Linked DNA regions of Lytechinus pictus. The protein of the gene in region 2 interacts with the protein of the main gene of each other region in a pairwise test. Links are inferred from orthologs where the notes say so. Each region holds a gene or a part of one and is shown on either strand. Other genes may lie near its edges. The genes, in order: homeobox protein MOX-2-like, syntenin-1-like and synembryn-A-like.

Region 1 (11,756 bases), on a different chromosome or scaffold from region 2:
CTGAATTGAATACCTTTTATCGAATGGAAAGGGGGTACATGGCCTGAAAGTATGTACTTTTAAAACCATCAAAGTTTATTACTTTGCTTACGTGGTGAAATTTTGAAAATCCTAGTTGAAGTATTATACATCACTTTGTTTGTTGAAATCAAATTGCTTCTTGAAATGACATAGATGTACCGTGTTACGTGGATTACTGCAAAAATAAATAAAGTAATAAAATAGTCTAAAATACACAAGCCCCGTCTATTTGAATCCAATACTGCACCTAGACCCGCATCGCTGTCTCCGACGGTATATTAACATCTAAAGAAGATGTAGGGAATGCGATTACGTAATCATTTGCGCAACGTGACCACTGGAGCAACGAGGCAAATGTCTTTGCCGCCTCGACGCACTGCGGATGTCTAGCTCCGTGCTATCTCGAAAAAAATGAAATTAACTATTCTTCTGAAGAAAAAAGGGGTTTAAAGAGTGATGGCCTAAGATGCATTGGGAGTATATTTGGGACTAATATTTTACCAAGATTACTTGTATGTTGTTTCACACAGAGTCGAATCAATTAGGTTTATACCCAGAGATTTACCTTAATCCCACACGTGTACATTCGTGGGGGTATTCACCTTCCGAGTCTCGTCTCAGCTTGGCTTATCTGGGCAGAGTTCTACCAGCTCTCACCTACCATACACATCTTGATTTTCTTCTTCATGTGCTTTACGAATCTGAGATCTCTTTCACTTGCAATATTTAGAATCAACAGTGGAGTTAATACGGCAGTACGCATTTGAGGGGTAACTAGGGGCATGCTGTCTATAGGGAGGGGTGGGAGGTATTAAAGCTGACCAATTCCTCTAAAACTACGTATGATCATGATGATTGTGTACATGTATAGATTAGCCAGTCGGATCCCATGTTGGGAAGTATCCGTGGTGTGCATTTGTTATGAAAATGCCATTTTGATGAAGAAAAAAAATGTAATCGTGACCATCCCCAACTCTAGTAATATCCGATTACTCAAATTATGTTCAGTTTCGTTTTTGAGACGATTTTGCAATCTATGGGCCGGGAGTTTTCCTGCTTCGTTCTGTACAGTGTATATCATGCATCGACGCCGCTTTCGTGAAAGATTGGAATAATTTCAAGTGAAAGTGCAATTCTGTATGCCCAATTATTGTTAAATCAACGGGAGAGGTTACACTGCCCCTTACCCATCCCCTCCCCTCCCTCCCCATCCCGTTCAATTCGACAGGATTCAGGAGTATCGAAGCTCGCTCGCCAAGAAGCTCCTATCCATCTCGTCGCATCCATCCATCCAGCTCCTCTTCATGACGGAGCGGGATGAAACCGAAGATGATGCGCTCTTGGCATTGGGGAGGGTAGGAAAATACCCCGATGATCGGGGCTCGCTGTTGGGAAAACATCAAATTGTTACAATCCAAACAGAGCACGCGCTCGGTCGACCTGATGGGTGCTTTCCAATCTCTCATCGCTTTACTTATATCATGTTTTGTTTGCAAGCCTCTATATCACTCGGAGAGAAAAGAAAGGGATGGGGGTATATATCATGCGCAATCAGCTCGGGCTTACACAGACATTTCGTTGGCGATTATCTTTGTTCGTCTGTATTTTCATGTAATAGATAAAATACCAAGGTGGTGCGTCACAATCTTCATGATGTTTAGTGAAGAATTATTATTTACCTCGAGTTACCTGATGTTGGGCATAAGGTATATAGAACACTTATTACCCCATCTGTATCTCATATGAACTTGTCAAATAATAATGATAACCAATTTTGGTATAATTTCATGTCCCCGCCTAACTGTATTATGATTATATAGGCCTATGTTAGATGCACAATTACTTCTATATTATATACTTGTCGTTTTCATGGTTTTAGTAAAATGCGCAAAAGGCATAAACGTCAAACGGCCATTATAATAGCAGATATTCCATCCATCCATCAGCCTTTCTATCTATCTATCTATCTATCTATCTATCTATCTATCTATCTATCTATCTATCTATCTATCTATCTATCTATCTATCTACCTACCTACCTAGCTATCTATCTATCCATCTATTTATCTATATGTCTGTCTGTCTGTCTCTATCTATCTATCTATTTATCTATCTATCTAGTCTTTCTATTTAGGAAGGCTAACCAAATATGTGAGTGTCCGATCGATACAATTTTTTTTGTCAAAATCAACAAACTTATTGATTAGTTAGTGTCTACCAAAATCTTTGGTTTATATTGACCATTACTTTGACTAATTCTCTTTAATATTCTATAATTATATATAAATTATTTATAGGCCTATACATTTCCATTCATCTACCTATCCATATCAATCATCATGAATTACGAAAAAGTTGGAAACAATATTGATATGCAGATTAAGAATTTCCAGGAAATCGAAGGATTCCACCTCCAACAACGTGGACGGTTTTTGTTCGAGAGGTCAAAGTGTTAACGCAGTTTTTCCTCTTGATAACCGGTATGAAATAATATTGTTTAAGAGATGCTCCACTTGGGATTGTTAATCATAGGAGCTCAAGCAAGGAAACATTAGAAAGAACAAGCGATTTCCTCAGCGTCTCGGGCTAAACTACCACAGGAACTAAACGCGTATTGACCTTGGTTTTTAATAAACTTTGATTAAAATTTGGTAAAAGTAGGAAATATATAGCTTTGATGCTTTGGTTTGTTTCCGTATATGACCGGACGAAATCTGTATGAGATAAGGTTCATATCTAAATATATATTTTTCTTTTCGTGAGAATATTTTCTTCTTAAAGGAAAAAGTCTATAGTATTATTATTATGATAAGTCATTTCGAACCATTTCTCAGTAGATTAAAACTTTATTTTTTAAGTCATTATGAGTCAATAAATGTTGAAATTCTGCTTGAACTAAATGCATGAAAGAAAATATCATATCTTATTTTACATCATAATTGCCTCAGACGTTAAAAATAGTCCATATGATTTTCTCGGGAGGGGGTGTTATCGATAGGATAATCATCTATCTGTTTCCTCAGCATATGTATTATGAAAAAACGTCATTGTACGACAATTTTCTATTTCAATCTTTATTATTACGAATCGATATAGAAATGCCTATCTTACTCTACTTATTTCTGATTTTTATATATCTTGTGCATCATCCTTCACATTACTTCCCCGACATTCCATTTGGATTATAATATTTCGAATGACTATTATTACACGACTTGTCCGACATCGCATCGCTGATATCACGTGCACACGTGGCTTAATTAAGAGCATCACTTACTCATATTTGCTGACTGAAGTGAAATGATGGAGACAAAAATAAGCCGCGGGGATAGGATGTTCAGAAAACCATGACGAAATTCAAATCTTATTTACATGTGAAGGACATAGTGGCCGTATGCCTGTGTTGCTCATAGTGTAGTAGGATGGTATTTTAACGTATAATCCTTCACAGTCATGGTCTTCATACATACACTTACGAGTTCATTGGATTAGCATGATTAATAATAACAAGCAACATTTTTTTTATATAGCGCTTAAAGGGATATTCCATGCTGAAGTATAATTTAAACAGATAAAGAAAAATCAGACAAACAAAACACTGAAAATTTGATCGAAATCGGACAAGGAATAACGAAATTATGTCATTTCAAAGTTTTTCATTTTCCAGTGAAACAGTTCTAGGCATGTCTTCATGAATATTCAATGAGCAAATTGATGATGTCATATCCCATCTTGTTCTTTTATTTTAGTCATCATCATTAGCACATAATTGTTCTCTTGGAGCTCCGAAATAGAACATGGAAGGCAGACCACATTTCAATTTGATTTCAGTCTTTTAGATTACGCACGAAATATTTCTATAATAATTGTTTGGCTTGCCATAGCTCTTGGTTTGATCCCGATTTTTTATAGTTAAAAGAACAATGGTAAATATCGCCGTTCACCTTGCATACACACACTGACTTTACCGCCGCCCCCCCCCCCCCTCCCCCCTCCATCCCCATTTTCGTCCACCCATGCAGTTTGAAAACAATATATCTGTTTTATCATGACGACTTTGGATGAGGCGGAGCGCGAGGTTTGTGAGAGAGGAGAAAGATCTTGGGAGTGATTCATGAGGCGAATAGTCCGAGATATTCACTGACCATTGTTATAAGCTACGGATATCCTTGCATCTGACTGGCTCATTGCAAATTTGTCAGTGACAATAGTGACAATTCACTGATTATTTGCTTCATGAAACTGCTCCCCTGAAGACGGACGGGCAACAGATGGATGGATGACTGGATGATCCGGTCGATTGGGAGTGCATGAGGCCGGGAATGAGAGATGAAGAGAGAGAAAGATGGAGAGAGAGAGAGAAGGAAGAGGTGAACAGAGAAGAAGAAGAACGTATAGAAGAAGCAATGGTGGTAATAAGAAATACAAGAATACGGTGATGGTGGTTGTAGTGATGGTGGTGGTAGTGGTGGTGGTGGTGGTGGTGGTGGTGATGATGATGATGATGATAATGATGATGATGATAGTGATGATGATGATGAAGAAGAAGAAGAAGATGAAGAGGAAAAAAGAAGGAGGAGGAGAAGAAGAAGAAGAATAAAAAGAAAAAGAGGAGGAAGAAGAAGAAGAAAATTAAGAATAAGAGGAAGAAGAAGAAGAAAAAGAACAAGACGGTGGAGGAGGAGGAAAAGGGTGAGGAAAGTGAGAGACAGAGAAATTTCAGTAGGATTGAGAAAGGACAAACGGAAAGATAGAGGTCGATTATTTAATATCGGAAGAAGGAAGAAAGAGAGAGGGGGAGAGGTTGGGAATAGAACAGGAGTAAAGTGAAGGGGGTATTCAGAAAGGATGGTGGGTGAGAGAGAGAGGGAGAGATGAAGACAGGATGATCTGTGATGAAAGGTGAGCAGGTGAATACCCATCTCCTCCTCGGCTGTGATTCACTGGTGACGAATATCGCTTTGGATGGCGATACAAATTTGTTTCCAGGCATCGGGTTGCCTGACGAACCCGACCGCCTGCGTGGCTTGCTTTCTACTGCAGATGTGTTTCAAACGCAGGTTATGTCAGCCAAACCATAGCAGGATCCATGGCCAAACCACGGACCGAACCTACAACAAACCAAGAAGAAAAATTCTTTTAGTAGGATATATACAGTGAATTTGGCACGTTGCTAGGTCGGTCGTAGTACGAAACTAAAATGGATGCGAGGGTTTGGATCTTCACCAAGGGGTACAACTTTGCTCCCCTTGTAAGGACCCCATTGCTAGGTCGGTATATACAAAACTCATACATTAAAGAACCTTTTATATTATACCTTTTCCTGTCCATTGGCAAATGACACCAGTCAAGGACAAGTCCTCCCCAACATTGGTATGCAAATGAGGAGACTGATGACGTCATCCACTCACTATTTCTTTCGTCTTTTATCATATGAAATATGAAAATTTAATATTCCAATTTCCCCTCATTGTCATGTGAAACAAAGTTTCATTCCTCTCAGAACATGTGGAATTACCATTGTTAAAACATTTTATGGTGCTGTCAAGTTGATCCTCATTGTCAAATCTGTAAAAAAATGAAATATTCTATTATTCAAAAAAAAAAAAGAAATAGTGAGTGACGGACATCATCGTCTGTCTCATTTGCATGTCACTGAGTTCTGCATATCACTGTTTTGTGAAAAATAAGCGTAACTTTAAAAAGTCATAACTTTCTTACTTTACATCTGATTTTGATGAAATTTTCAGCGTTATGCTAGTTTGATTTTCTCTATTCAAATCAACATTTTTCTGGGTTGGACTTGACCTTTATATTATGTTGAATAATGCAGCTACCTGCAGTGACTGTCCTGCACCCATAGATAAAAGTGCAAACATGTTCCCTAGTTTCAGTTCCAGTGTTTGAAAGGTGCTCTCTCTTTCACTCTTTTAAATTTTATGTAACATATTTGGGTCAAGTACTACTTTAATATGAATGAAAACATACATGAATTCTTGTTGAATAAGGACATTTCTTTATAATTATTGAACCAGCTTAAATACAACAGGTACATGTCAATACTACACATACATGTATGTCATGCGACAGCTAGGTATTATATCGACTTTTATTTGATAAAAAATTACATTGCACGGTATCCTATACCCTTTTTACACACGCTATAGGTGGGGCTAAATTGCCATTTAGCCCCACCTATAGTACGGGGTTAAGCTTAGCCCACTTTCTTTTTACACAGCATTTTTGCAAAGTGGGCTAACCCCACCTTTAGTACGGGATTATTTGGCCCTGCAAAAAAGCAGGGTTATCCCAGCAATTGCGGTGCTAAGAGCGATAGTACGGGGTTAAGATCGCTAGTGAAAACGAAAGTGGGCTAAGCTTAACCCCGTACTATAGGTGGGGCTAAATGGCAATGATTAGTATATTATATATATATATATATATATTGTTTTTTGCATTAAGTCTTATTTATTGAAGGAAACCTTCAATAACAAGCTTTGCTTTCCAGAAGGTTCCTATTTCATTTCAAAATGTTATATTATATTTTGCTTTACTTTGTAACTTTGTTGAAATTTTGGAATGAATAAATTCGTTGTCAATCAATCAATAGTACGGGGTTAAGGACATTTTAGCGTGTGTAAAAAGGTACGAGTGAATGAGCTACCACTAGTCCGGGGTTAGCGAGTTTCGTGTGTGAAAAGCAAGCATTCCTTATCCGGGGTTAGCAATAACAATTTGGCATGTGTGAAAAGGAAAAAAAAATAGTACGGGGTTAAGGATAGTACGGGGTTAGCGATAGTCCGGGGCTAAGAAAATCCTGTGTAAAAAGGGTACTATATGACCGCGTTTATAATATTTGATATAAAATAATATTGCACGGCATCCTATATGACCGCGTAATATATTGATGACTATTACACGATACTTCAAGCTATAGTATAGACCTACGCTATGACATCGTGATGTGAGATATCCCCTTTGTGTATAATGATACTCGGTGTCATCTGCATACTTGTCAATCATTATTTTTCTCATATTGCATGGTAAGAAGTGTGATATGGAACGCGGCGAGTCTTTATCTTCTCAACACTTAAAACTCGACCCATTTCTCTTCTCTACAACTACCATCCCCTTCACCCATAGAACATGGTTGAATTCGATTTATGGTTCGATACAACTTACAAGGGAGTTAACCAATAACTGTTATTTTTGTCAAAGGACTCGAAGTTAAGTTTGCATTTCCCTTTTTTTTATTAAAAAGTTATTTGATTGGTTGATTCATTTCATATACGCGTTTATTCTTTCATTCCATTACTTGATGTTTCATAATACATTTATCTTACTTTGAATGTATTAAAAAGATATTAATTCGTGTTTATTTTTTCACTTGTTTCCTAATTGTCCATTCGCAGAGATCGCTGGGCGGATCAGGCATGTCACTACCAAGCATGCCCTACCATCACTCGGCCACATCAGGGGGTGTACATCACCCCCATCACCAAGCACCCTCCCACCACACCCAATTCCAGGACTGGAGCTCGGCCGCTTCGGCAGCAGGGTCACGTGGTCTCCACTCCGGGGGCGTGGCCCCTCACACACCGACTTACCGCATCTACCCCCCTGCGGCGCACCACACTCCGACACACTCCGATTACATCTCCCCACACGACTTGGACCTCATCAAGTCATCGGGGACCGGCATCGGTGGCGGCGGCGGTGGGGGAGGAGGAGGAGGATCGCCCCCTGTGACCGCGTCCAGTCCGCCAATCGTGTCGCCCACGGCACTGGGGCACCACCAGCAAACGACAAACTGTGCGGATGATCTCACGATAAAAGGCAGCCCAGATAGTAATGGTAGGTTTTAGTTCTTCTGGTCGATTACATATAGGCCTACAATTTCCTATATTAGAAAATTGCCTTGGAAAATTACCCTCTCGAAAATGATATCTATGGGGACAGTTATAGAGTGGGGTGTCGAACAGATAGTAACTATAAGTAAAATGTATGCATAGAGCTATAGCTCTATGATGGATGCATATAAATTGCCTGAAAATGAATTAAATGATGATTTTCAGATTGTTTTCAAGTTCTTATCATCTTGAAATTGATTGACAGCATGCATATCTATTCTACAGGGATGTTGTTTTCTACACGTCGTAATGATCATTGTCTCCATGTTGTTCAGTTGCGTGCAATTAGTAACCTCATGGGACATTCTCATTCTAACGAGTTGTAAATCAGTATCCCAACAAAATATAGGCCATTAGAATCCCGTGACTTGTGTTTTAATTGAGCGATATAACGTTTAGGAGCGACCACGAATCCCTATGGCTATGACATTTTACATACTATGATTTTAAAGGAAAAAAAACGACAAAAGCAAATAACCCTAAGGAGACAAAGAATAAACAGAAAAAACTCTCTCTTTCGGGCCCAATTAATATATCTTGATTATTTTCAGATCAGCGAATTATATTGATCTACGTCAGATAACAGAAAAAACCGAGAATTTTCCAGTGTTTTATCTGCCAGAAGAATAAGCGGGGGTGGAGGATTATTAGAGCTTATGTTTGGAATAATGAATTATATAATCTTTCTGACTTCAACGAACGTTTCATGAAATTTTACGATATGTGATTAAGATCCAATCCTCCTATTACGATTTTATTATCCAAACAAAATCTGCCCTTGATATACCCACGTACAACATGAATCTTGGTAAAATTTTCAGGACCACCTGTTCCTCTACTAAGTGAATGCGGAAAGGAAGTCGGAACATGGTAGTAAAAATATATCTTAAAAAAAACAGCTCTCAGTGGAGATCGTGTAATCTCTAAAGTTCCAATTCCCGCGAGATCTGACAAGACCGTCTCTGATTGGTCAGATATTACATCACTAGCTGCGCACAAGGGTTTAAAGTAGCGCACCTGTCATCTCGTGTCAAGATTATGAAATTACACGTCGTAAAGTCTGTTCCACAGCGATAAAACATCCACCGATAAGTGCATCAGATTTAAGCATAAAAATGATCAATTTCGCTGAGAACTGTTTATAGTAAGCACATTTGGTTACGTTGGTAGTTGGTGTTACTCTTTTATTGATAAAATACCCCAAATCATCTGCAAGTTAACTCAAATTTCGAATGCTCAACATAATTATTGTTGATAATAAATTTATGATTGTATTTCAATTTTATATAACGAACCCTCAATTGAAATCAGAACCGTATCTCGGTTTTATAGGCCCAACTATATGGAAACGTCGCATATATTATAAACACAACGATTAAACATTATTAATTAATTTAGACTATTTTGCAATAAAATCCTTCTTACACTTTGTTTTCATTTTAAGATAGATTGAACTTTCTAATCCGTGTTTTGTGGACTGTCGATGTGGCTTAAAATATTCCCTACTCCGCCCACGAAATAGGATTTGGAAATAAAGAAAATAAGTTTAGAATGAAAGAGAGAGGGGGTGAGAAGGGGGCTGGGGCGATGTGAGGGAGAGAAAAAAAAGAAACCGGATTGGCAAAAAAGCCCCAAACTTCTCCAATTGCCAACAGAAGTTTCAATTTCACCCGTGGTTATCGGGCCGAGATAAATCATCAGACATTTCATCATAATAATGGAAATGATATGAAATTAAAGTGAAGGGAAAAGGAGATGGAGATGAAAAATGAGTTGTCCAGCTCAGTGTCACAGTCAATAGTCGTTGGATATGAAGAAATATAGCCCAGACTATGAACCGTAGCCAAGGGTTACGATCCGAGAACATACCGGAGCAAATTTTTAACGAGTCCCTCAACGATTTGGGTTAAAGCACCTATAGCATAATATTAATATCCTTTCTGAGAAATCTTGCCTTCCCTGTAGTATAAAACACTGCGTGAATGGAGTAGAAATCAATGAAATATGGTTTTTAAAATAATGAACATAATGTTGAAATGGAGGGAGACAAATTAAATTAATGGGCTATGAACTAATGGTTTTTTTTTAGATTTGGATTTATTGATGTCGTCAGCTCCATTTGATGAGCTAAAATCATGACAATCAAATCCGACTTATTGAAATCTATTTATTTTGAATGATATTAAAGTGATCACAATAGTAAGGGCATACTCAGAGCATGCTTTGACATGCTGGATGTTTTTTTTTTTTTTGCTTTCAGTATATCCGTGGAACTACTCAGAGTAGTAGGTCCATGGTATATTGGATCCTTTAACTTCTGGCTGGAGATGTGCCCTTAGTTTTGTCGTCAGTCATAACTCATCCCATTCGACCTGAACGATACCGACCCTCTGCACCCGTTAATCATAAATGCTATCCCAGCCCCCCCCCCCCCTCCTCCACCCATCCTCTTCCATATTTTTCCCCTCATCTCAATCCCCAATTCGGTCAGAGAATAATTGGGGCGCATTCCCCTCTGATTTTCTATTACCTGGATTTCTGACATCTTATTTCCATGTTTTTGCGTTCATTTCTTTCCAAAGGAGACGACACGATGTTAGATTAATGACGTTGAGAGGGAATAGTTTATCATGAGATGTATAAATCAGAAATAGCGAGGGGAAGTCGTATGTGATGACAGCCTGTGAGGAGCATTGAACGTGCTCTGGTGTTCATAAACCATCCGTATCTATGGACTTGATCTGATTGTAATTCATCACGAAAGTCAAAACAACCGAGTACATTAATTGAAATACTATAGTAAAACATAGCTTTTTTTCAATTTAAACTGACTGTTTTCGTGACGAAGATTTGGTTAGGGGCGAGTATGGGGCTTTGCCGCTTTTCACGACTTGCTTGTAGTCAATCTGCTTTGTCAGTTCTATTCTTTGTATTATGATTTCGATTTTAATAATCCACCGCCATGGTGTTATACCAGATGAACCCCCTCCCCTAAAGGACTGAAGACTCCAATCGAAATTACATAGAACATTAAACATCCGATCTTCGTTTGTTGACAGTGGTTTTGAATGTAGGGGGTTTCTTGTTTGTCTTACTGTTTATGATAGTGGTTGGAGTCGAAACTAAACCTCGAAACCATTATTACAACTTTTGACCGTGACTAAAATAAAACTCATGATGTGGACGCGGTCCCATATGATTTTAAAAATCAGACAAGCATCGACCCCTATATGGTCGACGTTTAAATCATTAGGAATATTTACGACTCGCGGATGGACGGACTAGCGGTTGACCACTACACGAACCTAAGCAGAAAATTGCTTATGATGGTATACAGGGTCAGCAAATTATAAATACCCGGTAGTGCAAAAGTGCCCTTCACATCATCAAGGGTATAGGTCCTAAAAATTTCATTCGGTCGCTTAGGACGCTTTGTTCCCTCGCACAATGGAGGTGCTCACACTCAAACCTCTCCCCATTTGAAGTGAAATGTCGGACTGAAATGCTTATCTATTACACCATGTTCGGCAGTTTGGGTCAAATGCATTTTACTTATGAAAACTTATTTATTAATTTTCTAAAATAATTCTCTGTTGTAAATTGAAATTTTAAGTTTATTGGTAAAAAAAAGAACCCAAGGCAAATACTTTCTTGACCGCGACATGTTCGCACACAAGAACTTTAATTCTCTTGGATGTATTTGTATACTGTGTTTGGGGGTTTCAAATACCAAATTAAATTTGATTTTTAAAATCAGAATTTCCTTTTGCTTGTTACATGTTTCGCTCCCTCGACCTTCCCCTCATAACTGTAATTAATGTAACG
Region 2 (10,976 bases):
TCATAATATTCATAGTAATAATATTCTGCTTTGAACTTAATTCTTCAGTCTTACAAAGAATTGCGGTAGACTTGAATCATACTCTAATTGTGATTGATCTAGGTTTTTCATATTTTAAGTACATAATTTAAGATTAATTTCAGTTACAGTTTGATTTGGATCTATCACTCTTTGTAAGACAGGGAGCAGGGCCCTGTCTTACAAAGGGTTGCGATTGATCCGATCAATCTTAACCGTGGAAAGCCAGCAACGTCAGCATTTTATAAATGCATGTTTGTTTAAAATAATTTCTAGATATAATGTATATTCATAAATTCATTGTTTTCTTGACAATTTGGAGTTTTCCCCTTTGTTTACAAAGGACATTTTGCAAATTTCCTGTAGAAAAATTATGACAATGATGGATTTCCATAGAGATACAATTGATTGGATCAATTGTAACTCTTTGTAAGACGGACCAGGGCCCTGTCTTACAAAGGGTTGCAATTGATTCGATCAACCACAACTACGGTAAGCCAGCAATGCCAACATCTAAAATGCATGTTTGTTCAAAATGTTTTTCAGATATGATGTATGCTCATACATTCATTGTCTTGACAGTTTGATGTGCTCCTCTTTGTTTACAAGAGGACATTGAGCAAATTTCCTATAAGAAAAATTATGGATTTCCGTGTAGTTGAGGTTCGGTTGATCGGATAGATTGCTACTCTTTGTAAGAAGAGACCCAGGCCTACATCTCTAACTGTAATCGGGGGTGATGTCAGGATTTTTCTAATTGGGGGGAGGGGGGAAGACGGAATAAAAATGGCGTCATATTTTTTTCTCGGTTGAATTATCGGGTACAGTTTTATACATGTAGAGTTACGCTTCCTGTACCTCTCCTTTTAATACCCTTCTCCCTTCTTTCTTCCTGTTCTTCCTCCTCTTTTTTTCCTCTCCTTTTTTGTCACTTGTTTTCACTACTTGAAAACTTTGTGTTTGGTCGCCTCATCTGCCCCCCTCTCCTCCATGTTGCACAATCCTTGACTGAAACCAAAACTGTAAAGTTTCATCTACAAGGGCTATTATTATTCAACTCAGAGAAAGTTTACCTCTTGCATACTCAGACTATTAATAACAATGGTAATAAACATACATTTGTATAGTGCAGCCTTTATATGAATATATTATAATGTTTGATATCAAGAACATAAAAATACATAGTATTTAGGCCTGTAGCCAGGCTTTTCTATTAGAGGGTTCAATCACTTTTCTCTTCTTTTCTCCTTTTCCTCCCAATTATTCTTGCTTTTGAATTTTTTTGGGGGATTTATCGAACCCCCCTGCTACAGGCTTGGTGTTGTATATTTAAAACAATTATAATATTTATTGAATTATGTGTACATTTTTTGGCAATAACTTGTTTCCATAGAGGTGGTGGATATGACACCTTCAAGAGAAAGCTAGTGATTTGTTAATACCATTGACAGGTAACTTTACCAAAGTCAAATCTTTTAGAACCACCGGAATAAGCCAGTTCGTAGTTCCTTTCTGCGCATGATCAAAATATTCTACGCATGATCAGAGGAAGGTCATTTGTACTAAAGTGACATGGTGGTTTAAAATTTAATGAGATAAGCACCAACTTTGATGTCTTGATTATTCATATATTCTTTTGAATTGTGGTTTTCATTTACATCCAGAAAAAACAACAATGCGTCCACGAACGACTGGTATTTCACAGTTTGCCAAGTACATTGTGCAACATGCTATGATACGCATTCAAAGTAGGAATGCAACAAATACCTTCATAAAGTATTCATTGGTGTGCTATTCTAGTCACCTGGTCTATTCAATTTCTTCATCCTGCTATGTAAGGCAAGCTTACGTAATATCTTGCTTTAAAATCTGCCTATCATAATGAAAGAAATGAAAGGTCATTTGACCAAAATTGTCCATGAAGTACATGTAACTACGAACTGGTCTATTGTAACTCGGAAGAAGTATGAAAGATGATTATCTAGTCTAAATTATTGCTAAATCATCAGTGAAAGTCTCTTAAAGAAGGCTATTCTATAAAACAAGCATAAGGGAAGGGCATTTTAGGTGTGAACACCAGTGGACCAACATTCTTTCTAATATTAATATAAAGTATGTCTTTGTATTTGTGTCGGCTTCCATTTACCTTTCCCAGATGTTTTTGTGTATTTCAAATAATAACTTTATTTCAAATAAAGTCAGTTTGAGAATGATATTCTTCTATCTATTAAGTAAATTATATGTGATGTGTTTGTGTTGTCACTTCTAAAGTCTTTCAAAATGACATTTGTATGGTGATAAAGATATTGAATAGAAGTGTAATTGGATGTTTCATGAGAGAATACAATCATATAAAAACATACAATTTTGTAACTCCAATGGCTTATAAGGTCATATAATTATTAATTAGACTTTGTCAAATGTGCATTCTTAAAACAGTAAAGGTTATTCGTTAAAACATATAACAAAATTTGATGAATTAAAAGATAGTGGATTTGATGTCTCGAACATAGTGCAACATGAAATTTGAAGAATAAAACATTATTTGGAGTGCTCTATGTCCAAGTTAAGCGTTCTGTATGAAGCAGTCTATTTGCCATTGTCTAACTCTGTACAAATTAACCCAAACAAATATTCTCACTGGTTCTGGAAAATAAATGAGTGTTATTGTACCAGTACTCATTTTAACAATCATAATCATGTTTACATGTACACCTTTCCATGTTCCCAAATAGTGTTCTTTATGATAATATGTGAAATAATTGTTTGTGATTATGGTGTAAATGCTTGCTTTTTATTTTCATAGATCGATTATTGTTCTTAGAGAGTGAATATTTACTCAGACATCAATATAGATTTTCTTAAAAGTAGGTTGGATCCACATTTTAATGATTTTTTTCTTACAGTATATGGCTATATTGTACTTGCACAAAAAGTTACCTCACAAAAGGGGCTAGTTCCCCTTTTATGTGATTGTGATATCAGATTTTTTGTCTTTGTTTTTGTGTTTTGAACATGTGAGATGAACAATGAAAGCTCTTCAAAGTTCCATTTTCTTTTGTATTGTAGGATGGGGCAATCACATACCATGCAACGGGCCCCTGGGGCCCGTTGCAGAAAGAGTTGTAATCAATTGCAACTTGATTTTCAACCAATCAACAGCGCTCATTTGGGACTTGCGATTGATTTTTTGACTTGCGTTTAAACGCAACTCTTTCTGCAACGGACCCCAGGGCCCCGTCTTACAAAGAGTTACGATTGATCCAATCACCCGTAACTCTATGGAAATCCAACTGAGTCATAATTTTTTCTACAGGAAATTTGCAAAATTTGCAAAATGTCCTTTGCAAACACACCAAATTGTCAAGAAAACAATGAATATACATCATATCTAGAAAATGTTTTGAACAAACATGCATTTTAGACCCTGTTGCTGGATTTCCATAGTTGTGGTTGATTGGGTCAGTGGCAATTCTTTGTGAGACGGGGCCCAGTAGACATGTAGTGTAGGCCTGTGTGGGGCTGATGTTTTCATTTCAGTAAAGACTGAACTCGGTTGCTTTTGTAAGCAAAGTCAGAATCTCTTTTTGAAATGGTTGTTTGTTTTAGGAAAGACGGCATTATCTTGGATATAGGCATTGCTTTTTGGAGTCACTAGATATTGATATGTATTTATTTGAAAATGATCCCATACCCCTTACCGCATACATTCGTAATTCCGAAGCTTCGTTATTCCGAAGGTTCGGATATTCCGAAGGTTCGTTATTCCGAAGGCTCGTATTTCCGAAGGTTCGTAATTCCGAAGGTTCGTTAATCCGAAAACGAAATGAGGTTCGTAATTCCGAAGGTTCGTTAGTCCGAAAACTAATGATTAACGAACCTTATTTCGTTTTCGGACTAACGAACCTTCGGAACATCGAACCTGATTTCGTTTTTGGATTATCGAACCTTCGGAATAACGCCACAAATGTTCGGATTAACGAACCCTTTTACGTTTTCGGATTAACGAACATCGAGGTATATGCAATTTACGTGTTTCGGAATTACGAACCGTCGGAATAAAGAACCTTCGGAATTACGAAGTGTAACCACCCCTTACATCAATATATATATTGTCATTTTCATTACCATATTATGGGTAATATAATAAACTTGTGATGACAGATATTGTGTTTGGTGCTATTCATTTGATTTGATTTATTTATTTCCACATTCCAATAACAAAAGTATATACAAGTGTAATCATTTTTTCTTAGCATAACATAACAATAAGCAAATGACATAATGAATAACATATGCATATATACATTCTAATAATCTAACTGAAATAAATTTATACCTGGTAAATTTCTTTTTTAAAAAATTATTTAAACAAATAGCAGAAAAAAATTATATATATACTTATATCGACATAACACATTTTGAAATGTGGGAGACCTTCATCTTAAGCTTAGAGCTTGAAATTGATAAAGGCCTCATAATGGTGTATTATGTCTAAAACATGTGTGTACTTTCCATAAGAAATGTGGGAAAAGCTTTTTCATGGGGGGGGGGGGGGGGGGGGGGGCTCACACTCTGTCCAATTAACATGAACAAAAACATCAAAACTACAATTATTTGGATGTTTATATATAGCCCCCTTACATATGGCTCAACCCCCGGCCCCCACAATTAAAAAATAATGTCCAAAAGAACCTACGACTGATATGGTCTTGAAAATGTTGAAATGCAATAAAGAAAAATGATATTACACCTTCACTTAGTACTCCATAAATGTATGATAGATATGTAAGATAGGCCTACATGTATGACACTGAAAAAAAGAGGAACTTAATATTGTTGAATATTTTAACAAAAAAATTTAGATCCTAATTCATAGAGAAATATAGAAATGTACGTCTGTTAGAGGAACTGGCAATTTAACTGTTGAAGTGTTAATAAAGTAAAAATCATTTTACTTTTAAAACTTCAACACCAATTGTCTATATGGTTTTCAAGACATGCAAAATGAACTTATTTTTCTAAGGATCGGAATTCACATTGGAAGTTTGTGTGAATTTGAAAAAAAAGGCTGGTATATAATCTTTTTTTAAGGTGACCAGTCACCAGTGCCCATATCTTCCCCCTCTCAGTTGATTGTAGATAGTTCTAGCCCAGAGTTCAATTCAATTATTTTTTTTTCTATTCAATTATTTTATTTTATTTTCCACTTTCAATTTCATATTTACAATTATGATACAATTGACATAGTAACATATAATCACATTCGAAGTACATACAAAGTTGATAACATTATAAAATTACAATAGACAATTATCAAATCGAAATATAAATAATTGAAAGGGAGGGAGAGTTTTAGCTTTAGGAATCAGTTTGTACTATTGTAGCGGTTACAACGTTTGCTTTTCTATTCTTAGTGCTTAAAATTTACATGTATTATTAGGTTAAAATTCGACCCCACCCGCTTCTAAAATAAAAATCAGGACCCGTGATTTCAGACCTACATGTATTTTATTTGGGCAGCGATGAGAACTTCATTATTATCACAAATCCAAAAATAATAGTATGACATCATCACCATCATCATCATCAGCTGACCCTGACGTCATGAGCGCATTACAGGAAAAATATAAAGTGGATGCGATTTTGCAACTGACGATACAACAGAGCCGAATTTTTAGCAACAAGTTAAAAGTACTATTATTCCGCTTCAAGTTTGCCAAAAAGGGTAATTTTGTTTTCTTTTCCTGCCGACTAAATTATCTGAGCAAGTAGATTTGTTACAGCCGAATTATGAGCCTGAACTAGAGTCGGTCGCTGCTGGCCATAGCGCGGCGTTGAGTACGAGTGGCAGCTGGGTCACTTCCCCGGCCGCGCCGGCCAGGCGCGGGCTGGGGCACAGGCCTTGCAAAGGCTTTTGCCCAAGGCCTGGCTGGCTGGCTTGAGCCTTGACTTGAAAGTTGAATGACGGTGACTGAGTGATATTGCACTGTCTTCAGTCTTTACTTGTTTATATCACCACCAGGTTAGGGCCATGGGAACTCTGCAGCAGAGCCCAGGAGCTGGATCCAAGGCCGAGCACATTTGAACAATGTAATTGGTAATAAACAGATAAACGTGATTCGACTCTCGAGCTTAGGCTTAGCTGAAAGTGAAACGGATCCAGATTCAATCAGACAAAGGTCAAAGCAAAGCAAGCCGGCAAAGCTCTTGTCCCGGAATTAAAAAAAACAAAATGAGAAAAATATCACTCACATTTCGGTCTCTTCTGACACAGGTATGTGGATGCGTATCTTAATTCTTATGCATACATCATGTGCAGGATCAGGAATCGTGGGATTGCCTGTGTGTCTTTCCTTGCACAAAGCTCAAAAGAACATGAAAGAAGGGAATTCTTTCTGTTTTAATTCCCACATCAATATCTCGTGCGCTCGCATCAACACTACTAAAGTTAGTACTCGTACTACTAGCCTGTAGTGAGTTAGCCAATCAGCCATTCTACATGTAATGGATAGGGGTAAAGAGTCAATCTAATTTTGTTTTACTTTATATGTTGACGATTCCACAGTTCAGTTATTTAGATCATTGCATATTTTACTATTTTACTCTGAATATTTCATGTTTTATTGTTTTATTGATTTTTTAAATTTTTTTATAAATGTTTTATTGTTTTTAAATCTCACTGAATTTTACCTGCTACCATATACCATCTCTAAGTGATATGATTGGAACTGATATAGTTGGAACTGAGCTGAAGATAGCGGTTTGTTTTTGGTGAAGACTTGTTTATATGCCATTTTGACAAGAGTTACGACAAACTTTTGTACATACTATAATTATCCTTTTTCATATAAGAAGGATGCACAAATTTTTTTTTTCATATATGTATACATCATATTGGTAATAATATCATTATGTGAGAAGTGAGATTTTTTATTATTAATAGAGTCAATGGCGACAATAGTCAAATATGACTAATCGCCACTCAAACCAACATAAGAAGAAGAAGAAGATGTGATGTGGTGTGTACTAGCTTTGATGAACATGATCTCTTCCTTTTCTCCTTCTGGTTTTGCCTCCTTTTCTCTCTCTTGTCCATTCTCTCCACTTCCTTACACCTTCATGACTTCCATTTTCATTCCTCTAGTTTCCTTCTTTCATTTTACTCACCTACATGTACCACTTCATTCTTCTTTTTCTCTGGACACTGTCACTATTTTCTTTCTAAGATCACATAGATCTATTCTAGTTTACATATTTAAGTTTGTGTATCATTTAGAAAATGTTACGATACTTTGTATGAAAACTTTATATGTAACTTGCATGTTTGTAAAATTGATCACAATTCTTTTAATAATTCTATCTATCTGTGACAGAAAGAGGGGAGAGAGAGAGAGATGGAGAGAGGCAGGCCTTAATGACAAAGATGAGGACAATAGAGGGCTCGGGGGAGGGGGGAGGATGAGTGAATAGGGATGCTGGATGGAGACGAGGGAGCCGGGAGAGAGATTGCAAGAGTTAAACATGGCAAAGCTTGAAATGCATACAACGTTTTGGCAAAGAGAAGAAATACACTGAGATATTGAGGTCCAAATGATTTTTTTTTTGGGGGGGAGGGGGTCATCACACATCTAGTAGAGTAGAGTAAATAAGGCCACATTTTTCATAATTCCAGTTATGTCTTTGTAATACCATTCAGCTATCTTTGACTCACTATTACCTGTAAATATCTGAGAACAGTAGATTCGGTCCACTGAATCTAATTGTTCTCTTTTTTTATGGTGAGTCACAGATAGCTGACTGGTAGTGTACATAGTTATATATAGTTTTTTATTGTAGTAAATACACACCAAACAGCAATAAGACCATAAGAATCAACATTTATGGATTTAGCTAGAGGGATTAGATTAATTACTAATAGACTACCTGCTTCATAAGCAAGTGAATATTTGACTTAAAGGGATGCTCCAGGGAGTCCGGGCTTAGAATATTTATATCTAAATAAATAGAGTGAAATTCACAGAGCAAAATGCTGAAAATTTCATCAAAATCGGATAACAAATAACAAAGTTATTGAATTTTGAAGTTAAGCAATATTTTGTGAAAACAGCTACATGCACGTCGTCATGAATATTCATTAGGTGAGCTGATGATGTCACATCCCCACATTCCTTTTTCTTTAATATGTTATTACATGAAATCATGTGTAAATGATACTGTGTCTCCATAAGTTGCAGCAATAAATAACTAATAATGCACTTAATCAGTTGTCAGTCCAATTGTTTTAGTTCTCGGTATAAAGATTTTTGATAAACCTAATTTCATATAATAAAATACAAAGAACAAGTGGGGATATGACGTCATCAGCCCACCTAATGAATATTCATGAAGACAAGCCTAGAACTGTTTCACTGGAATAATGCAAATTTTTAAAATTCAATAACTTTGTTATTTCAGCATTGCTTTAAATTGCATCTTGATTTGAATTACCAATAAGTAATAATAGCTTGCAAATTATACAGTGATTTAAAACAAAATCCCAAATGAATTCCAGCCTGCTCTCCGTGCACAGGAACTTGGGTTTCATCACCATTGTACTCGTAATTAGGCATGCTGCACAAAATTTGTCATATTTTCTATCATAGTGGAGCGTTGTGGCCCAGTGGATTAGTCTCCGGACTTTGAAACAGAGGGTCGTGGGTTTGAATCCCAGCCATGGCGTAATTTCCTTTGGCAAGAAATTTATCCACAATGTGCTGCACTCGACCCAGGTGAGATGAATGGGTACCCGGTAGGAATTATTCCTTGAACGCTTTAGCACCTATTAATGTGGCTGCTCAGCTATAGCCGGGTTAATAATATGATACCAAGTATCAAAGCGCAGTTGAGTATGCACATATATGTAGTAACTGCGCTATATAAATCGTCTGTCATATTATTATGTGGTGATTTTATAAAATTTTGGTACCTCATGGGTGGGGGCTGGGGGGGTGCACCTGACCCTCATACATACATGTAGAGGCTGTTGCATAATATTTGAAATTTGGGAAAGGGGGTGGGGACCATCCCCCCTGATTTCTGCCCATGTTGGCTATTTTAGTGTGGCTATGTTGGTGTACGCATTGTGTGCATGCATGCGCACTTATGCCTGCAGCACGCATGACGACACTGAAATTACTGTATCATTGTATAATTTGTAATAATTTCAAAGAATATGGTTTATATCATGATCATGAGAAAAAATCAAGTTCTTTGGTCTAGCTACATTGCCTCTACATGTAGGTCATATTTGGCGCTGTACATGTATATCTCTGTTTTTAATCTAAGAATTTCATGCAGTGATATACAAATGTACTTGTAAAAATTACAATTCCATTACACCATATTGTATTGCGTAAAATGGCAAATCATTCATTTTGTTCTTTTTTCAAGTATCACATTCATAAAGCGGCTAAGATCCCATTACAAATTGCACTTGAGTGTGAATATTATGTTTTGTGCTGTGAACTATGATTCAAGAGTCCACTGATCCAATAACATTGTGTGGGTGTGTGTATCAAGACCGGTAGGATTTCCTCTTTCACTCAAATACCATTTCCTTCCAATGAAATCATGCATTATTGAATTCACTCTGTCATGCTGAATTACTGATTTTGTCTGCTAAGTACAGGAAGAAGATTATCAATTCATTCGTATGAATTAGCTTGTTTTTTGAAGAATAATAACCAATTACATAGTGGAAGTAGTCACTATTCTTGTTCTTTTTGTGTATATACACACCTTAATTCTCCTTGTACTCAAGGAATTCTATGAGAGACAGTGTACATTACATGAACCTGTATTTTGTACTCTCATTTTCCCTCATTTCCCCCTAAAATATGCTGCCTATCTGACAATATGACAACAGAGTTTTCTATTCATGTATGTATTTTACACTGTTCACGTTCTTGCGACAGTAGAGTTTTACTTTAAATAATACATTGAAATAAAAATTAAAGGAGAAAGTCACCCAAATACAATGACCAAGTACATATTTTTGATTCATGTACATGTAGACAGTGTAAAGGCTTGAATTTATTAATAAAATCTAATACATGTAGTTAGACATATTTTTTTCTTTATTTGTGTACATGTAGATTTCTGAATTTACCTTTGTGAGGAAGTAAAACTTGTCATCAATCATCATGTCTCTCTATCCATCATTGGAAGATATGAAAGTTGACCAAATGGCTCAGGTAAGTTTTAAGGGTAAGTTCGCCCTGATGAAAAGATTGTTGTAAAAATATTACATGTAACAGGAAAAATAATAAATTTGATATTGGTGAAGGTTTGAGGAAAATCCATCAATTGATCTTCTATCTGTCTATCTCTCCCCTCTTTTCTCTTTCCCTCTCTCATTGTGCTGCCTTTTATTTATTTTTGTACTTTCGTGTAGTAGGGTAATATGTTGTGAAGATACGACAGGTTGTTTTTTAAGTTATTCATTATTGCAACAATTCAGAATTGCTGCTACAATGTAGCATGATATTACTTATGACCTGGAACGCTATTTTATCTTTTTTTTCTCTAGATTTTTAAAAACATTTTTTTTCAGTAAAGCAATAACCATAGCTGTTTGTATTATAATCAATGTTAAGAATACTGTTATAATACTCATTTTTAATTTGACTACTATTGTTATTTTTATCATTATTATCATTACTATTACTATTATTATTATTATTATAAATGATAATTATTCTACCTTGATGTATCTAGGCCCAGGTCAACTTCAATCAACAGGCACAGGCTGCGGCCCATGCCATCGCCAGTGCCCCTGCCGGGTCTACTGTTGTCATGACAACAAGCTCACTCTACCCCTCCCTGGAGGAGTGGATGGGTTTTCCTCCCGCTGAGATGCAGGCCTATGCTCAGCAGTCATCGGTAAGTACATGCAATTTGTATGGATACACTACAGT
Region 3 (11,314 bases), on a different chromosome or scaffold from region 2:
TTCTCAACACCTGGACAAGTGGAATTAACGACAACAAAGTCAAAAGACGACACGACAACGTCATGAAAAAATCTGCAATGGCGTCAATGGCAATGCCAATGAAAAAGTTCAAAAACATATCGATCCAGGACCAGGACCAAGCATAATTTAACTTAATTTTAAGAACATAGAATTTATTAGAAAAAGACAAATTTCTGTAGATGTATGTTGCATAAACTTGACTGAGTTGACTCAACTTCTCACGTCGTCAACAGCAACACAGCCCAGACAGGGTGCTCGCAGACTGCAAATAGGAGGTACACTCCTATTTACCAGGACGCGCATTTTCCTTCTCACACAAATTAAATTTGCCACATCACGACTCCTTGATAAATGTATTCTCATTGCACACTGAATAAATCGCTCACGATCACCCTTCTTCTTGCGATCAGACATTTCACAAACACTAAAATATCACCCGGCCCAGCAAACGATAATTACCAAGATATTCCACAGATTGACAATAAAACAGCCGAACATGAAAAGGAGAAGCTTATAGAGTTCATTTATCAATAAATTTTACACTGAGGTAGTTAAATTACTGTTTACCTTTTATTTTAGACGATGATTCTCCAGCAAAAACGCAAAGTCGTCATCGTGGATCATGCCCCGGATTCTGACCCGGACGATTCCGCATACGGTAATATCCGGATTTTACAAATCCGATACATCGACGCGACGTCATGAAAGCCCATTTATTAGCATTAGAGCATGGACCTGTCAGGGGCCGGGGTGTAAACTGTAATGGAGGGAGGGGGGGGGGGGGCTCGTCTTTGAAATGGCCCTGGGTATGGGGTTGTTTTGAAAGCAGCGTTAACATTGCCTCACTTTTTCTATATGATAATAATTTTCTATAAGACAGTACTTAAAAATTTGTTTAGTAGCCACTTGGACCTTGCGTGGTCGATCGATCGATCCACGCAGTATAGTTAGTTGGAAGAACAATATCGTAATAAATGCAAAGCATAATTCTGGAATCGATTTCAATTTGGGTAAGAAAACAACTAATTTAATGCTTTTAAAATCAAAAGAAATATACGAACAGCTGTTGAATAAAAGTGACATTAAACCCTCTATTTTCGACAAAATTAGAACGAATTATGATCTTACCAATAAGGAAGTAGAAAGTATATTTTTAAGACTAAGATATTGCACACTGAATAGTCGATTAAGGGAGTTTCAGTATAAACTCTTGCATAATATTATATACACTAACCACCACCTTTTCCGTTTTGGTCTTGTTTCGACCAATTTATGCTCATTTTGTGAAAATGAAGAAGAAACGTATAAACATCTATTTTATACTTGTGAATTTTCAAAATCACTTTGGGATATGTGTGCAAGAAGTTTAAATTTTGAAATGAATAAATTTAGTTGGCAGGAAATTCTTTTCGGGAAGCAGGAGAAAAGTAAAGGTAAATATCAATTAATTAATCATGTTTTGATTTTAGCTAAAGGTCAAGTCCATCCCAGAAAAATAAAGATTCGAATAAATATAAAAAAATCAAACTAGCATAACGCTGAAAATTTCATCAACATTGGATGTTAAATAAGAAAGTTATGACCTTTTAAAGTTTCGTTTATTTTTCACAAAACAGTGATATGCACAACTCAGTGACATGCAAATTAGACAGTCGATGATGTCCCTCACTCACTATTTCTTTTGTTTTTTATTGTTTGAATTAGACAATATTTCATTTTTTACAGATTTGACAATAAGGACCAACTTGACTGAACCATATAATATTAAACAATGCTAATCCCACACGTTCAGAGAAAATTAGTCTTTGTTTCACTTGACAATGGGGAGAAAATTAGAATATTTCATATTTCACATAATAAAATACAAAAGAAATAGTGAGTGGATGATGTCATCAGTCTCCTCATTTGCATACCGACCAGGATGTGCATATAACTATTTTGTGAAATTAAGCGAAACTTTAAAATCTCATAACTTTTCAGTGTTATGTTTGTCGGATTTTTCTCTTTTTATTCAAATCAACTTTTTATTGGGGTGGACTTGTCCTTTAAATATCTTATTTACAAAAACCGAGAATTAAAAAAACCTCCTTCATTGATTGAAATAAAAAATAGTATTAGGGGGGATCAAAGAGAAGAAAAGAATTTAGCAACAAAGAGGGGGACTCTTACAATCCATTTCTCTAAATGGAAAAACTTAATTACTAGACCATTTATTGGAGCCCGAGCCAGCTCTCCACCGGATAGGGGATGGGGGTGTTTTGGGGAGGGTCGGGGGAGGGGGGTAGGGTCCAGGGCTGAGTTTGTTGTTGAGATTTATTTTATTTGAGTGAAGAGGCTGAGGCAATGGGTTTTTTAAAAAAAATATGCTGATGGCTTCAATTCGTTTTATTTATTAATGATTTATTTTTGTGTATTTGACACTGAAAATTCAATATGTTGAATTTATTGTAGAAGTTTATTCTTAATGCATATTATTATTATCAATGTTATTTATAATTATGTTTTAGAAGATGTGTGACATGATTGTGTTTTATTGTAACATTCAAGAAAAAAAATGATGTTAAATTTATAAGTTGTCAAGGTATTTATCAATTTTGTAAAGACATCAAACTTCTATTTGTTATATATATTTTATTTTGTATATGAATTGAAGTTGTCAATAAAAACTACTTAATACAAAAAAAGTATATAACGTTAGGGGGAGCAGAAAGGGGACACTCTTGTAACTTGTAAAATAATCAGCCAATCAGCAATCCGGTTACATCAGTAAAAAGGTGTGCCTAGGCATAGCTCCAAACGGATATATCAGCTACTCTATAGCTCTACAGGTAAGTTATAAACGAGTTTCTTTTTATATACCCCTTTTTCTTTTTCATCGTTAATTGCATGTGAGTAAAATATCAAGTATATCACATCGATCTGGTAGGACCTTTATTATGCTATTTAGTAACTGAATAAGTGTGCAAACTTCTGAAGATAATTGTTTGATAAACGACAGTTTAGAAACAGTGACTGCCATTTTTATTTTTTATTACTGAATAAGAGGGAGAAATGGGACACACTGTTCCATTTCCCCAGTTCATGTAAGTTCTACTACAAATTCCATCACTGTGAAATAGACATCCTCATCTTCATCTTTATTGCACACTATGCCTAGGATGTTAATTCTTTGTTTTAATTAAGTGCCCTTTTCAAAAGAGGAAGTTCCCCACCCCCTCAAATTTACACGTATATACCTCATGGGATAGGATTATGTGTAGGAAAAAATATTGAATGTTTTCATAATGTGACTTGTTCATTTCTGCTGTGTGATACTCACATGTTATGTCAGAATTTTTTTTTTCATTGTTTTACAAATAATTATGTTTTTTCAAGGAGGGAAAATGTCAGTCTGATTTGCCGCTTTGTGTCGACGAGCCAGAAAAGCTCACAACATTTTGTCATTTTATACTCACAGAATTTTGTTTGAATAAAATTGAGCTCTTAAAGGATTGTGTAAAGAGTGTTAATACGATCCAGATTCAAATTCAAATTCAATTCGGTTTTATTAAGCAATACTCATCAAAAAGTCCGAGGACTAACAATGTGAGTTTACATTTTTTAAAATACATAACAAAGAAATAAATAAATACATAACATGCAGTGACCATTAAAGAAGAAAAAAATATACATTATGTTTAGAATGCAATAATAGTATAAAAAGAAATAGAATGAGGAGTTGCATGTAATAAGACAGATTTAATTTGTATATATAAAAAAGCAGGTGAGGAGCAAGAAAGGGGAGCAAGAATGGCAAGAGTGAGCATGTGAAAAGGTGAGAGTAGAGAGTGGTGTAGCAAAAGATAAAGAGGGAAAAAAGGAATGAAGGAGGAAAACAAGAAAGACCCACAAGTAAACAATAAATTGCAGATTAAAAAATATAAGAATTATGTGTAAAAAAAAAAAAAAAAAAAAAAAAAAAAATGACATGATGGCAATCATAATAGACGAGAGAGTGGGAAAGAGCAACAAGGAGATAGAGAGAGAAGGAGGGAGAAAGACAGAAAGAGAGAAATAGAAAAGTCAGACAGAAACTGAAAGGACATCATATCTAATCATAAGTTAACTAAGTAAACAAGATATACATATATAGAAGGAAAAAAAAGGTAAGCATCAATAGTGAAAACTGGTCAGACACCAAATAAAAAGGAGAAATACAAAAATATAACATTAATGATTTGCAATACTGATTTACAATACAACGTTGTCCATAGTGAATGAAGCAATTGGGAGTTTGATGCATTGATGAAAGGAAAACCATAGAAAAGGAGAAAGAGGCAAGAGAGTAAAAAGACAGAGAAAGAGATAAAAAGGAGAAAAAAGGGGGAGAGAGAGACAGGAAAAGAAAAAGTACATCGCATCCAGTTAGGGAATATTGCAAAACAGGTACATGCAATGTTAAAATGCAATCATAAAACTTATACATGTGACTGTGAGAGATAACTGTTTTTTTTAAATTACAGGCACGTCTCATAGCAAATTTACATTTAATATTCAAGGAAACAGTGGCGGACCGTGACCCGGAGGAGACAAAGCGTTGGAGGGGCACAGCCACTAGCGTACCTACGGGGGGGGGGGGGGGCAGGGGGGCACTCTGCCCCCCCTGACGAGTCACAACCCATGCAAAAACGTATCTTTGCCCCCCCTGACGGACTTGAAAAACCTTTTTTGCCCCCCCTGACGAGCTTTAAGACCTTTAATGCCCCCTGACGAGCTTGAAGACCTTTTTTTTTTTTTTTTTTTTTTTTTTTTTTTTTTTTTTTTGCTTGTCAATTTTTTTCTGGAACGAAATCCTTTATTTATGATCGAAGACCTTTTTTTTTTTTTTTTTTTTTTGGCGGACGGTTTTGCCCCCCCCCTGTGGAAAATCCTAGGTACGCCACTGGGCACAGCATATTGTTCACTTACAATACAGTGCCCCTCCCATGCTTTGTCTCCTCGGGTCACGGTCCGCCACTGCAAGGAAACAATGATTTTATGAGAGAATATTGTTATCATATTTTATTTATCATATCATATTTTGACTTGCTCTTATTGTTGAGTGTTCTTGCATGCAACAGTTGTTTTAGTGTTGTTTGTGTTCTTCAAAACGGTGTTTACAACGTTTGACCAATTGTATGCTCATTAATTGCAGAAGTGCAATCTTCAAATGAAAAAAGAGAGGGGGGAAATGAAAGAAAAGTTTGGAAATGAATCAGTGCGGTAGAAATTCAGCTCATATAATAATCAAATTGGTTGAATTTTCATATTAGTAATAAATTTACCAATGTTAAAATGTTAATTTAGTTGTCATATAAGAAAATGTTAAGAATAAATGTAGATCATCTATTAGATGATATCTTTAATAGACCAGACTAACCCTACCTGTTACTATATTAAAAAGGAACTTTCAGGAAGAAACTGAGGAGAGAATGGTGTATGCAATTCATTATAGAGGGAAAACTTTAAAATGTTCTGCGACTATGTTTTTTTTTCCTCAACCAACTAACTGTTAGAGTTTGTAAAGGGCCTTCTGTCACAAAATCATCCCTTTTTGTCTTATATCTTCGTTCAAAATTGTTTGTTATATCATCAATCTCCGAAGTGCGTTTACTGATTATTTTGTGGTCGTCCCATTTCACCCCCATTTTATGTCCAATTTGACCACCTCTTGATGTGCACCCCCCCCCCCCCCCCCCCCCCAATCCGAGGTCGGAAGGACCGCATGCGTGTTCCCAAAATGTCCGGTAAAGGGCCCTTTTTCCCGGGACAAGTCCGGCCCGCGAATTGTAAAAAAGGGGATGTTTTTGTATTTTCACCGGAGATTTCTTCAAAAAGGGGGTGTTTTTTTTTATCTCTCTGACTCTCTCTTTGGAACCCTGAGAAATTTTAAAGGGGGTTAAACGGTTGTAAAATATCTTGAATATCATAGAAAATTTGATCAAATCCCGGGATCAAATTCTGAAATTCCTGCTAGTTTTGAAGGCTCATTCAGGATTATTTCATTTTGAAAAAGTAAAGTACGAACCTTTTGTTGGAATGAGAGCTCACCTGAGATAGGGGGTACATTGAGCAGTGTTCTGGATTTAGGGGGGTCTCCACAGCAGAAAAGGCCATGCAGCGAAAAGCCCTCGAACTGAGGCCGGGTTCAGAAATTTTGGCCGACCTTCGATAGGGGGGTGCTTTCAAAGGGAGGGAACTAGCATAGGCGTACCCTAAATAACACTGAGGGGGGGGGGGGGGGGGGATTGCACCCCGGGCCCGGGGTGTCCCATGTTACCCCCAAAATCAAGTGTTTCAAAAATCATTAATTACACAAAATAGAACTAGATAAGGGATGTCAATACAAACTATATTGTGTGATGCAAAATCAGAACAGTCGATCGACATGAAATTTCTTTGATGTTGATCCTGTTGACGAGCCATCTATTTTTCCGTTGTGCCTGATGAGCTGTTAGTGAGATCAGTGTCTTTCAAATACCCCAAATTAGATGTTCAGAACAGCGTGAGGTAAGTTTAGTTGAGAAATAATGAAACTGATAATGCCAACAAGGCAATCATGTCCCCCCAAAAGGCAAAATGGTCGAGAATCGACTGCACGCAAACCCGCGGCTCAACCATCGATGTCTTGTGGTAGATCTACCTGGCCCGGCACTCGGGGGTGACTCGCGTCACGTCGGCGGTGTTAGGCCGGTAGGCTACCGGCGCGGCCCGTAATCGTAATGGAATGCGGGATATTATCATGTTGTTAAACTTGTACATGCAATATGGCAGTGCTATTGTGTTCGTCCACAACGAATCATCTATTAATTTGAGTATTATTTAAAATTATTGTCATGACTCATGATTGTCTTGATTCGAATTGCACAGCACAGGATCAGGACGGACAGAAACTGAATCGCCAGGTAGCTCTAGCCTCTATTAATTTTATCATTTTTATCAATGGATGATGATTGTGTTGATGACGAAGTCGAAGATGATGATTGACAATTGTATTGATGTCGGTGTTTTGGTCTTGGACTTGGTGGTGGTGATGATGATGAGGAGGATGACGATGATGATGATGATGATGATGCTGATGGGATGGGGATGATGATGAGGATGATGATGATGATGGTGGTGCAGTGTAGCCAGGCGGCTTCTTGAGAGTAAAAATCATTTACTAACGTAGGCTTACTCTAAACGAAGCCAGGGAGTCCTCCCTATTCATCTGCGTGTACCGCAAAAAACCCTGAAACTTTCGCCCCCGAGATTTCTACTTTCCTTCTAAAAGATCTAGCTCTAAATCATGTACATGGGATAAAACTTCATTTCCCACATTTCTACGCTCTCGTTGTTATTTTTAAACAAGAATTCATCAAAAAAAATGAAAAAATATTGTCAAAAGACGGAAGAGACTTGCCCGATGTTTACGCCGCCATCTTGTTTCTTATTGTACTTCCCCAACGTTACGCGACGCTCGCGTCCGTAACGTTGGGGAAGTCAGCCATTGTTATGACTGTAGGCTCAAACATTGATAGATGGCGCTGTCTGTATCGAGGCCTCGCACTATCTAGTGAGACATGTTTTGTTTTTTTCCTGGAAAAAAAGGAGTGAACGTGATGAAATGGTTGCGCTGCTCCCCGATTTACTGGAAAATTATCCTGTCTAGTTCTTTTGGTGATTTGGGTAAGATATTTTCATAAAAAATAATGTGGTTGTAGGTAGACTATATTGGAAATGTATATACGGTAATCAAAGTGAGTTTGCATAGGAATTTTGAGTTTAAATTGAAATCTCATTTCCCCGTGTACTAGATTGAAAAAAAAATCTTGGCAAGTGTCTGTCTGGATAATAGATCCGAATAAGGGGAGGCCGGATAAGAAAGGTGAGACTGTATTACCTTATTTACTAGAAAAGTGCAGAGATCGTCAACCAATTTTTCAGTATTATGTACATACACAGGTAAAGAACACTTTCTTATTGTATTTTTTTCAAAGTTCCAGATTAAAAGCAGATTCGAAAAAGTGCATGCACAGTGATTGCATTCGGCCATAAGGAAGAGACATGCACATTTCATATGTGTTCACAGCACAAACTCTCATCATGTTTTCTTTCTATTTTGTTTTCCACTTCCATAGTGAACAGATTTGAAGAAGTGCAAGTTCTGGTTACATCTCAAGAGGTACAAAGTACATTGTATTTCCAAGGCAAGTTCGTCATATGAACAGCGTCCCAAGATGAACACGCTACTGGTGTCGGCTGTGCCGGCCTTTGAATCTGGGAACGAGACTGAAATCTGTAACAAACTGCAGGAATTCACAAAAGAGGTAAACAAATAATCACCTGCTATAACCTCTGATTCCCCTCAATATAGTATGCTTGTACAATGTCTCTTATTTCCCTCAATACTGTCCCAAAGGAATAAAAGCCAAGCAACAAATTATTAAGAAATAGGCCGATTGTCGATAATTATGCTTCTTATATAACCCTATGGCCCGTATTCTGGAGTCAGGTTTATAGACCATGGTCTAACTCTGTGCTAAAATTATGGGGAACCAAACATTTCAAAAATTCTGTCTATATTATATATTTCTTGTTTTCTTTTTTGTTTTCCTTTTGCTTTCATAATGAAGAAATATACTTCAGTTATCATTCCAAGACAATTATGAACAATTTGGGTGTCATGTGAGTTAATAAAATGAATGTGTACTGTAAAGGAATTTGTGCACAATTGGCTCTCCATAGTTAAACCACAACTTTAAACCAGGGTTTAATTTAAACCTGAGTTCAGAATACGGGCCTATTTTATCTATCCATGGTTTTCCAATGTACCTTTTCCTGATTAAAGATAAATACCAGTTTTGGTAACGATCTCAAAATGAATTCGAACAGAAATCCAATAAAATTACCACCCAAGTGTGTATGTATGAATACAAAATATGTGCCAAGTGGCTCTGGAAGAAAATGAGTAATTGCTGAGAAATGAGCAAAATAAGCATGAAATTCCATCAAATGTCGGGTGTTTTTCCAAGTAATATTAATATCACTGTCCCGCATTTGCTTAGTGATCACAGGGGTGTGGGAGATCAGATTTTTATCTGATTTCAGATGATTTTTTTTTTTTTTAAGCTTAATTTTCAGCTTATTTTTGGCCTTCCTCTGTACAAAAAGTATGGAAGCTCTTTCTATTTCAGACTTTTTCAACACTCTTCACTTCCTTTTTTCAGATCTTTTTATTTGTGACCACTCATACCCCTGTGACCATTATAATGATTGATTTTGAGCTAATATTTCAGGATTTTCACAAAGATAAGTTTACATTAATGTTCAAGATCTAGATATATGATAATATGGTGACAAGCAGTGTTGAAATTACTTTTTATTTTTAGGGAGCCATTTTGAAAAATAAAGGAGAGCCATTTTCAGTTTTCGAGAGCCATTTTTAAGAGTGATTCAGCACATGGTTTCGCATCGCAGTTTTTCCTGCTTGTTTACAAATTTATATAATGTTAAACATTGTTTATTTAATTGCTATTTATTTTTTCTTCATTGTTATTAATTGTTGAATTATTATTTTCTTTATTGTTGTCCATTTGCATGTAGATCTAATGTTTATTGTTTGTGTCTCATTACTTCTCGTATATTAAATTAAATGGACGTTTCAACTTCTTTTTTAATATCCCATTTTGTCCATCAAATTGAAAAGGATGAAGTTTATAACATTTGAACAGAATTTGTATTCAGAGGAATCCTTTTCATGAATACTCTTTAACTAAAACTCACTTGAAAATTATTTTATGAAATATTGAATGCATCACAGCCTGACAGCTAATGTCACCATGTCAACTATTTCTCAAGCTAGGCTAGGCTATGCCTACGCTAACGCAGCTCAGCCACTGAACATAGCACAGCTCTCAGTCAATCACCACCGCAACACACAGCTCACAGTCAATCATCACCGCAACACAGGCGGGTATGAAACTGCATTAGCGCCAATACATGTATACACTCGGGCACTGAATGTTACTCACCAAAAATCCCCACAGAAAATCCTAATTTCGGTCTGAAAATTGTGGGATCTGCGCCAAATTTCCAGAGCACCAAGTGGCTTAGTTCAGATTTGAGAAGTGGGGTTTCCGAAAGTTACTCTAAAATAAAATATGTGATTTTCTTCAGAGTTCACTATCTTATTTTTTTGCAAATTTAGGATGGTATCTTACAAAATTAATCCAATAGAAAAGGAAAATTTTTGCTATCAAAGTTACGGCGAGACCTGGTGCCGCGCAGCGTTTTGAAAAATAGTACTAGGGATATCGAGAGTTTGAAATTTGATACGCGTTTTTTCTGAAGCGCCGCGCCCGTGATTTTAAAAATCCACTCAGTTACACGTCAGAATGCGACGATGCATGAAAGCAAAAACTGCGGCTGTGCTAGCCTGGCTCAGACTACTACTACAGTAATATGCAGTTGTAAATGGGAGACTGGATGGGCGCAGATGGGAGCGATTTTCATGTTGGGAGTCGCTCAGTACTTGGCAGTTTTAGGCAGTTACGAGAGCGATTCCAAAGCACACGAGGGCCGAATTGCTCGTCGCTCCCGTGTATTTTCAACCCTGGTGACAAGTAACCCTGATTTTAAAGAGTTTCACCTGAAATAGTTGTTTGCTGCAACTACTATCCTTTACATTTAAATGCAGATAATCTTTTATCAGTTCTTTAAATTTCTTTGAGAATGATATGCAGTTCTTGTATAGAGCAAAATGTCTGCATTAGCTTCCAAAGGACTTGGATATCATAACCGGAATTAGCATGACAGTTGTTGTTTACATCATACAAGCATGTCAAAGATTAAATTCTTGGGTGGAATGCAGCATAATGTGGATTAATTTCTTTTTTAAAGGAAATAACGCCATGGTTTGCATTGAACCCACGATCCTCTGTTGTTTCAAAGTCTCAAGCATAATCCACTGGGCCATAAGGGTCCTGCTTCGGAAAAATTGATCATTTTTTAGAACAATTATACTATTCTTGTTTTTTAAATAAGTTCAGTAGGATGGTGATACTATACAATGTATACATGTAGTTATCAATTTCATTTATCTAATTTCTTTTAAAACAGAATGCTGGTACATTCTCATTTACAGACGTGCAATTAGAAACAAAAAAGGTAAGCATCTATCTCTATCATTATTCTTAGTGTCTGTATCACACAAGGGATAATGCTTGACCATACACTTTATTAGTAAAGTACTGTATGATTGATTACATGTAATGATTATTAATGCAATACGAAA

What was found.
Region 1: the proteins of syntenin-1-like (region 2) and homeobox protein MOX-2-like interact in a two-hybrid assay, tested with the Homo sapiens proteins (2 studies listed by BioGRID and IntAct). The link is inferred for Lytechinus pictus from reciprocal best matches to the Homo sapiens genes SDCBP and MEOX2.
Region 3: the proteins of syntenin-1-like (region 2) and synembryn-A-like interact in binary tests that used the Homo sapiens proteins (3 or more experiments, as listed by UniProt). The link is inferred for Lytechinus pictus from reciprocal best matches to the Homo sapiens genes SDCBP and RIC8A.

What each region holds. Positions count from the first base shown.
Region 1 is NC_087247.1:6,713,529-6,725,284, reverse strand, and holds the start of homeobox protein MOX-2-like, read left to right. Parts: upstream 1-7,435; 5' UTR 7,436-7,454; coding exon 7,455-7,875; intron 7,876-11,756. UniProt on the Homo sapiens protein: Mesodermal transcription factor that plays a key role in somitogenesis and somitogenesis and limb muscle differentiation. Required during limb development for normal appendicular muscle formation and for the normal regulation of myogenic genes.
Region 2 is NC_087261.1:15,771,872-15,782,847, reverse strand, and holds the start of syntenin-1-like, read left to right. Parts: upstream 1-5,578; 5' UTR 5,579-5,746; exon of another isoform or gene 5,747-6,295; intron 6,296-10,154; 5' UTR 10,155-10,202; coding exon 10,203-10,253; intron 10,254-10,776; coding exon 10,777-10,941; intron 10,942-10,976. UniProt on the Homo sapiens protein: Multifunctional adapter protein involved in diverse array of functions including trafficking of transmembrane proteins, neuro and immunomodulation, exosome biogenesis, and tumorigenesis.
Region 3 is NC_087253.1:23,114,808-23,126,121, forward strand, and holds the start of synembryn-A-like, read left to right. Parts: upstream 1-6,139; 5' UTR 6,140-6,549; intron 6,550-8,159; 5' UTR 8,160-8,258; coding exon 8,259-8,348; intron 8,349-11,139; coding exon 11,140-11,187; intron 11,188-11,314.